Linked DNA regions of Coturnix japonica. Each later gene encodes a partner of the first gene's protein in a complex. Links are inferred from orthologs where the notes say so. Each region holds a gene or a part of one and is shown on either strand. Other genes may lie near its edges.

What was found. Proteins that work in one complex are often made in the same cells at the same time.
Region 2: STRIP1 (region 1) and STK26 share a complex: the UniProt entries of both Homo sapiens proteins name them as parts of the core of STRIPAK complex. The link is inferred for Coturnix japonica from reciprocal best matches to the Homo sapiens genes STRIP1 and STK26.

What each region holds. Positions count from the first base shown.
Region 1 is NC_029541.1:1,698,022-1,702,379, reverse strand, and holds the start of STRIP1 (striatin-interacting protein 1), read right to left. Parts: upstream 2,880-4,358; 5' UTR 2,853-2,879; coding exon 2,736-2,852; intron 2,340-2,735; coding exon 2,270-2,339; intron 2,047-2,269; coding exon 1,972-2,046; intron 1,860-1,971; coding exon 1,725-1,859; intron 1,494-1,724; coding exon 1,373-1,493; intron 681-1,372; coding exon 612-680; intron 423-611; coding exon 316-422; intron 79-315; coding exon 1-78. UniProt on the Homo sapiens protein: Plays a role in the regulation of cell morphology and cytoskeletal organization. Required in the cortical actin filament dynamics and cell shape. Part of the striatin-interacting phosphatase and kinase (STRIPAK) complexes.
Region 2 is NC_029519.1:3,339,446-3,343,524, reverse strand, and holds the start of STK26 (serine/threonine-protein kinase 26), read right to left. Parts: upstream 2,873-4,079; 5' UTR 2,593-2,872; intron 2,539-2,592; exon of another isoform or gene 2,496-2,538; 5' UTR 2,421-2,495; coding exon 2,379-2,420; intron 1-2,378. UniProt on the Homo sapiens protein: Serine/threonine-protein kinase that acts as a mediator of cell growth. Modulates apoptosis. In association with STK24 negatively regulates Golgi reorientation in polarized cell migration upon RHO activation.

The DNA.
Region 1 (4,358 bases):
GAGCGTGGCCACTGCAGAACTTGGTCACCATCCCAAAGAGCATGACAGAGAAAGGCTCGTTGTTGTACAGAGGGGCTCCTGGAACCAACCAGCAGCACAGTCAGGCTCTGCTCACCCTGCTGTGCCTCCCACCCCCACCTCTGAGCTCCCCATCTCACCCCATGCAGCTCCTCTGCTCCCTGCCCTCACCTGCTCCAAGGTTCAGCAATAGCAGAGACCAACCCTGAGGCCCAGAATCAACACCCACCTCCCCCACTTCCCCATCAGCCCTTGGAACCTCCATCCAACCCTCCTGTACAAGCGTGGGCTCCTCACCCAGCTCTGCTCGGAAGGTCTGTCTCATGCTCTTCCATTCAGCCTTATCCCCCTCAGCCTCCTGCCGGACCGTCTCCACGATCAGATACATGATGTTCAGCAGCACCCTGCCCAGAACACAAGATTGGGCTGAAAACCAGAGGCTGGGATGAGCTACATTGCAATGCTCTTAGGGAAGGTTTGGTCTGCCATAACCACAGCCCACCTCCACCCATTCACTCTCCATAACAGGGAGCTGGGGCTCTTATACTGGGGTATAAAGCCAACACAGCAGCTCCTCGTGCAGAGCTCCATACCTCAGGTCTGTGCTGTCAGCCAGGGAGATGGCAGGTTTCCTCACTGCACTGCTGCACGCTGCACTGTTACTGCAGGGAGAGAACAGCTTCAGTGCTGCTCCTGAGGCATTTAACTCTACTATAAGCAATCCAAGTGTCAGAATCAAAGCCTGGAGTGAGCACTAATGCAACAAGTCCCCCATCAAGCAGAGGGGGAACGCAGCTGTTGCCAGACAGCACGGCTGTTAGAGATCTGCTGCGTGCATCCTGTGTGTCTACACATCCACACGCAGCAATGCCAGCCATTCGAGTAGGAATCAGAACAGGAATAGAACAGAAACAGGGCAGGGAACAACACAGCTGCCACCAGCTGGAGGAATCTCAGCACATAGCAGAGCCCCATAGCAGCTCCTGGAGCATCTCAGCCCATAGCAGAGCCCCATAGCGGCTCCTGGAGCATCTCAGCCCATAGCAGAGCCCCATAGCGGCTCCTGAAGCATCTCAGCCCATAGCAGAGCCCCATAGCGGCTCCTGGAGCATCTCAGCCCATAGCAGAGCCCCACAGCAGCTCCTGGAGGCATCTCAGCCCATAGCAGAGCCCCATAGCAGCTCCTGGAGATCTTCAGCCCATAGCAGAAGCCCCAAGCGGCTTTTTTTTTTTTTTTTGCCACCTTTTGGGAAACATCTCAGCCCATAGCAGAGCCCCATAGCGGCTCCTGGAGCATCTCAGCCCATAGCAGAGCCCCATAGCGGCTCCTGGAGCAGCTGCTCCCACCACTCACTCGATCTCCATGTTCAGCAGCTCCACCAGCGCGTTGAAGGTCCCCACTTCCAGCAGCAGGAAGATGTTGTACCTCATCCAGGCCTGGACATCAGCCTCGGAGCTGCACTCCCCAAACGTGCCTGTAACGACACCCTGAGTGGATGCAAAGCCCTTCTGTGCAGCCAATGTGCTTTGCAGATGGACAGAACGTCACATCTTTAATGCTAAAGCAGGAGGTGAAAAGCAAAGGACAGAGCTGCCCTCTTGCAGGGGCAGTTTAGACCACTCTCCTTCCTCTGACAACTGCTTCAGCTCCACTTGTATGAGATGAAATACAAAGCAAAGGCCTCCAGCTCAACGCCAGCACGTACCTTGTGCAACATACAGGATTGCTCTGGCCACCTTCAGCCTCTTCTCCCTGGCTGTGACCTCCAGCCCATCCAGCAGCCTCATGGCGTGGGTGCGATGCTGCTTCTTGTCCAGCTCCGTCCATTTCTTGTCCCGCACTGCAAAGCCAAAGCATTGATGTATATGGGATGGGGCTGAAGGGCTGCTTGACTTCACAACCTGATACACCCAGCCCTATTGGTGCCCCCAGCTCCAAGGGGGGGCTCTCACCGTGGATCCTGAAATCCTCCTCGAAGCATTTGCGGTTGAGCAGGAACTCGGGGCCTTCGGTGTAACTGTACAGCTCTGCCAAAGAGCACAGAGAACCGTCACCCTGCGACCCACGGGTTAATGGCTGCTCAATGTTAATGGCAAAGGAACAGCTGCTATGAAGTGACACAGCCCTTCTAATGTGAATGAGGTGTTTAAAGGCAACAAAGCGACGCTGGAGGGGACAGAACCGCTTCGGTCACGATCAGGGCATAGAACCCAATGCTGATTCATTGAGCTGTGAGGACGGGCCCCTTACCGGACAGCTCCGCCGCCCATTTATCGGTGTCTGCGTATTCAAACTCCAGGTCTGGGGACTCCGAGTAGCCCTGGGGGCAAAGAACGGGGCTCAATGAGGGGCTCAGTGACACAAACGGACCCAAACGGACCCAAACGGACCCAAACGGACCCAAACGGACCCAAACGGACCCAAACGAACCCCAACACCCCCCTCATTCCTGCAGCCCCACAGCAGCACCAACGTTTCCAATCCACCCCCCGGCCGTGCTGCCGCATTGGGCCGCAGGTTCCGCCCCCTGGAGCTGTTCACTCCATACAGGGCCGCAGTGGGATCGGGACGGAACCAGGCCGGGCCCACGGCACCGGAACCGGCCGGACCAGGCCCCGCCCCTCCCGGAACCGGCCCGGCTTAGGCCCCGCCCCTCCCGTCCGGCCTTCTCCCGCCCCGCGGAGCCGGGCCCGGTTCTGTCGGTTCCGGTTCTGACCTCGGAGTCCTTCCTCGGGGGTCGGCCCAACTCTCGGCCTTTCCCCGCCGGTCCCGCCCCGCTTCGGGCCTTGTTGTTGGCCGGGAGCGGCCCCGCCACAACGCCGCCCGGCTCCATGGCTCCACACAGCGAGATCTCGCGAGGACTCACCCCTCCTTCTCGCGGGAGCGGCAGGGAGAGCCGGGGTAGAGCCGCCGCCGCCATGTTGGGAGTGGCGCCGAGCTCCGGCCGTTCTCCTGCCTCCGCCATGACACCTCCCGCCGGTCCCGCCGTTCAGACGCTCAGGCCGCGGCACCGCCCAGCGCCGCCCGCCCCCGGTGGCCACGTCCGGTGCGGCGCCTCGACCGGAGGAGAAGCTCCGCCCCATCGCCGCCATGATAGGTGTGGCGCGCGCCATGTTGGGAGAGGCACTTCCGGCCATCACGTGACGCGACGGCTGGGGGCCGCCATGTTGGAAGTGGCAGGAAGTGGGGGGGGGATGGGGACCAAAGGGGGGTCCGGAATGACCTGATGTGACCCCGGAACCAGCTCAGAGCCCAAATAGGGGGAGCAGATCCCACCAGAGGGGCCCATATAACCCACAGGGGCCCATATAACCCATAGGGGCCCACATAACCCACAGGGGGCCATATAACCCACATGGGCCCACATAACCCATAGGGGGCCATATAATCCATAGGGGCCCACATAACCCATAGGGGCCCATATAACCCATAACCCACATGGGCCCACATAATCCATAGGGGCCCATATAACTCATATGAGCCCACATAACCCATAGGGGCCATATAATCCATATGGGTCCACATAACCCACAGGGGCCCACATAACACACAGGGGCCCATATAACCCACATGGGCCCACATAACCCACAGGGGGCCATATAACCCATATGGGTTATAACTAATCAGGTCAGATCTATGGGGCCCACATAACCCATATGGGCCCAAAGCCCCCATTACAGTGAATGAGGATCCAACCCCAACTACAGGCCTTGGAGGGGCTGGGGGGGGGGCTTGGAGGACCCCCACCCCCCTATGTGCCCCCATAGGCTGTAAGCACTCACCCACCGACCTGCCATGTTGGTCGTTTTATGCTCCTACTCGTTTTTTTTTGGTTTTTTGTTTTTTTTTTCATTAGACTTTTAATGATTTATTGCTCGTCTGCAAGGATTAATCATATTGCATTCGTTAAAAATCAGTCATATACAAAATAAACCTCTCTCTCTTTCTCTCTCTCTCTCCCTCCCAGCCTGACATTGCCTCCCCCCCCCTCCCAATACATGGCTTAGATGGAGCTGCAGCCCCCAGCTTGGGGTTAGAAAGACCCCCCCTGCCCACAGCCTATGAGGGCTGGGGGGACACAGCCCCATAAGAGACAGAGCAGAGGGCACAGGAAGGTGGGCAAAGCTGCCCCATCCATCCTCATATCATCCCCCCCATTGAGGGACAAGCAGCACCGCAGCCACATACAGAGCCATGGGAGCAGCCCCCATCCCTGGTTGCAGCTCTCTGGGTGGGGGTCCCATGTCAGCTCTGTAACAGGCAGTGGGGGAAGAAGCGAATCCCTCCCTGCCTTTGCTAAGGGAAGAAAGAGGCATTGGGAGAAAGGGGGGAAAAAAAG
Region 2 (4,079 bases), on another chromosome or scaffold:
CTTGACCATACTAAACGGACTTAGAAGTCTGACTGTTCTATACATTCACAACATACAACTGATGCAAACTGGGCCTTTCAAAGTAAGTGGAAAAAAAAAACCCACATATTCAGGAAATTGTTTGCACAGGCATGAATTGTGTGGTATAACATCTGGTTTTGTCAAGGACATGAGACAGGTTCAACAGAATGCAACCACTACACAAACACATCATTCTGGAACTATTCATAAGGGCAGCAGATAATACTACCTCTGGGTCTTCCATTGTTGTCATACTACTCACAGGCAGAGTTCGAGTTGACCAAAACAACTCTATGGGACCTGCAGTATTTTCAGCTATAAAACATTTAAGAGATCTTAAAACAGCCAGAAGAGCTTGTGTAATGCTTCGGTGATAAACTGGTAATGTCTTTTTAGAGCCTGATTTGTTTGTTTGGGATGGAAATCATAGGATTACAGTAAAACTGAAGGATTCATACCTGAAACACATTCTCTGGCAGATTCTGTTTCAATCTGTTATATTTGGTGAAAACACTTCCCTCAACACAGGCTGCAAACAAGGAGCGTGACATGACATGCACTTGTGCACGGTGCTAGTTTTAATACAGCTATTAGATCTCCCTCCTTCACAGGCAAACCTGTTCATTCCTTCTTTAGTAGCCATGAGTTATTTTAACACTGAGCTGATGCAGGGATGCTTTCGTAATCACTTGGATGATCTTGAATGAACAGTTCAAATAGGTATTAAAAGGAGGGGGGAAAAAGCAAGGTTTAGACTATCAACCTTTGCAAGAGAGATTTTTGTTTGCTTTCTTAAGCTGTATTACAATCCCTCTTAAGGAACAGCGAGGTGAGTAATTTTGCACCAAATCCAATTCCTTTGTATTACAAGATTGTCTGGACTTGTGTAATAGTCTTCATCAAAAGAAGCTATTTCTTAATTCTTTACAGCTGCACATATCTAATAGTTAAAAAAGCAGAGAGAGTTTTAAACATATGTCTATACCTTCAGAGATCTGGGTTAAACTAACAGCACTAAAGGAACTATTACATAAACGTTATTGGTTTAACAACAGAAAACAGGACCTCAAATAATTTCCAAGGTCCTTTGGTGGTGACAAGGCAGCCATGGAAAATAGGTCAGCAATGGATCAAGGAGGTATGACAATAAGGAGCTCATAAGTTTGCACCTTGAAAAAGGAAGTCTTCCAAATATGAAAACATTAACAGAAGATGGAGGATAGAAAGTGTGGCTTATGTCATCTTATACCAACAATTGCACGATCAAATTTTACTGATTTCAGAAGGTCGTTAAGTTACTAGAAGTGAAAAAGGTAAACCAAACCTCAGCATTGCATCCAAGGCAGAATAGTATAGGAGTGGTCTTTATACATCGCTTCTACACTCTAAAAAACATGGAAGATAACCAACCAGGAGAAATTTCAACCTTCTGATCTGAAACCTGAACTCCAAGCTGTGTATCTCACTTTGATGTATCATAAAGACTTCTCTGTTATTGGAAATGAGGAAAGGAAAAGCAACCCCCCAGTCCCTCAGCTATGGGGCAGGTGAGCCAACCCCAAAAGCTGAGAGAAAGGCCAAAAATGCTGACAGAGCTGCCAGCCTGACAGGTAGAAAACAGCGCTGAAATGAGCTCAGCTCCTCTTTGTTTGATAAAGATCTGCACCCAAACTCACAAGGGGCTGTCCAGCAGAATAAGAAGGAAGAGTCACAGCTATCCCAGCCTCCCTCTGAAAAATCACTTACATATCGCTTGTTTGTTTGTTTAAACAAGTTTCACAAACGCTCGAAGGACACCGGGCCTCGCTCCCAGCCAAGGAGAGGTGGCATTTTCTGACAGATGATGGCTCCCAGCGGCACGCAGCACAAACATCGGACCTCCACTCGCACCCTTCCCTGAGCGCCAGGCCCTCATTACAGGCAGAGCAGCAGGGCTCAGTGCTACAGGCCCAAGCGCCGGCGGTGGGCAGCCCCACGGGGCCGATATGTCACTTGCAGCGCACTCCCCGATTCACTTCGTTTGGCCTTTCACCAATTTCAGAAGCTCTTCCACGCTCCGTGTCGCGGCCCATCCCGAACAAAGCGGAGAAGGGCTCTCAGCCCCGTGCGGGCCGCAGGTACGCGGCACCGCGGCTCCTCCCCGGGCCCGCCGCTACCTCAGCGCAGCCCCTCCCGCAACGCGACGGCTCGGGCCCGCTCTCCCCCGATACCGAGCGAGGCCTCCCCGCTTGCAGGCCGCCCCGCTCCGCCCGCCCGCACTCCCCACGACCCAACGGCGGCCTCCGCGCGGCGCCGCTTCCGGAGCCGGAGCGTTGCCCGCCGCCTCCATTTTGGGACCGGAGCGGCTCGGAGCTCACCTGCATGCCGGGCACTTGCACCGCCACGGGCGAGTGGGCCATGGCCGGGCTACGGCGGCCGGGCGCCGCCCGCTGCTCCCTCCTCTCGGCCTCCCTGCTGCTGGGCGGCGGCGGGGCCTGGAAGGACAAAGCGGCGGGGAGCGGCTTCAGCGCGGGCCGCGCTCCCTCCTTCCCTCGTTCCCTCCCCGCGCGGCCCCGCCCGCCGCCGACTCACCTCGCTGGGGCCGCGGGGCCGAGCTGCGCGACGCGGGCGGGAAGGGCTCCCCTAAGGCCGCTGTGCCATGCCCGCCGGGCTCCCCGCGGCGGCCCTGCCCATGCCCCCCTGCCCGCTCCCGAAGCGGGGACGGCGGCTGCTCGGTGCCCTCCGGGTGACGGCTCTGTGCACGGCTGGGGCTGGGCTCACAGCGCCATGTCGGGCCCCGGGCGGCAGCAGGAGGAGGAGGAGGAGGCTGCTGTGCGGCGGCGGCTTCTTCCGTCTCAGCTCCGGCCTCGTGGGGCGGAGCCGCCGCCGCCGCACGGGGCTCGGCGTCACTGCCCCCGCCTACGGGCTGGGCGGGGAGGAGCGGCCGGGTGGCGATGGGGCTGTGAGCGCGGTGTTGTTCGGCAGGGGATGCTCGCCCTGCCGTGGGCCCTGCGGCGCTGTCACGGCGCTGTGTCCCCCCCAGGCGCCTTGTGGCAATGCTTGTCCCCTGCAGGCCCCGTCCTACCGAGCGCAGTGCCCACAAACATGGTCACAGTGCGCGTACATCGCTGTCCCCTGTGCGAATAATCCGGCGGACGTTTATGGTCTTTTCTTGGCTTTTTATTTTGCCTCTCCTCACCTTCTCCTTCCACTGTGGGTCAGGAGAAAATGACATTGTTTTAGGGCGACGTTTTTCCCATTCGTATGTGAGTCACCTCTCCGTGTTGCATGATTCACGTTCCTATGCATTGAAGTTTTGCCAGTTACTCAAGTGAAGCTAAAAATGATATCTTTTATGACGCCTGTCTTCCCCTTCTGAGCAGGCGCACAGGAATCATGAGCGGTGGTCACACTCATATTCAGATACAAATATCCTTGAGGACTTTGCTCAAATTCACAGCTCCATGGGCCTGAAAGCCAAGCAATGGGAAGGTCAGTAGAGATAGCAGGCTGTTGTCCGTACCCCGTCCAGAGGGTGGTTCCCTTCGGAAAGGGTGTGATCAAAGGAGGTCTCTCTCCATTACAACATGGAGAAATGCTGTACTGTGGCAAGGAGCACAAAACACCTCTGTTTAAGGTAAGGCTGTGCTAGCGCCAGGAATTTCAACGTTCAGCAGCCTTTCCAACCTTAACTCCCTGTGGTTTGAACCAGAAAACAACTCGCAGTGATGTTAGCTAAGGACAGACTTGTGGCTCATGCTGGTATTACTTTATTTTCTGACTTGCCACTTTGTTCAGCCTTCACCGTTATTAAAGTATTACAACCCCTCTGTGCTCTTCAAAAAACACATAGCTGTAAAAGGCTTCTGAGTGAAGTTATATACACCCAGGTTAACTGAGAGGACATCAGGAGATAGGTTTAATGACTGGAGTATTTTGTTTTCTCAAAGTTTGTACTGTGCACTTCAATTTAGAAAGATTTTGATTAACGAATGTTTGGGACCAAAAGAGGATTTCTACTGATCTCTACTGCTTATTAAATTGTGTACAGCGGATCAGTAAATAAATGAATAACTATC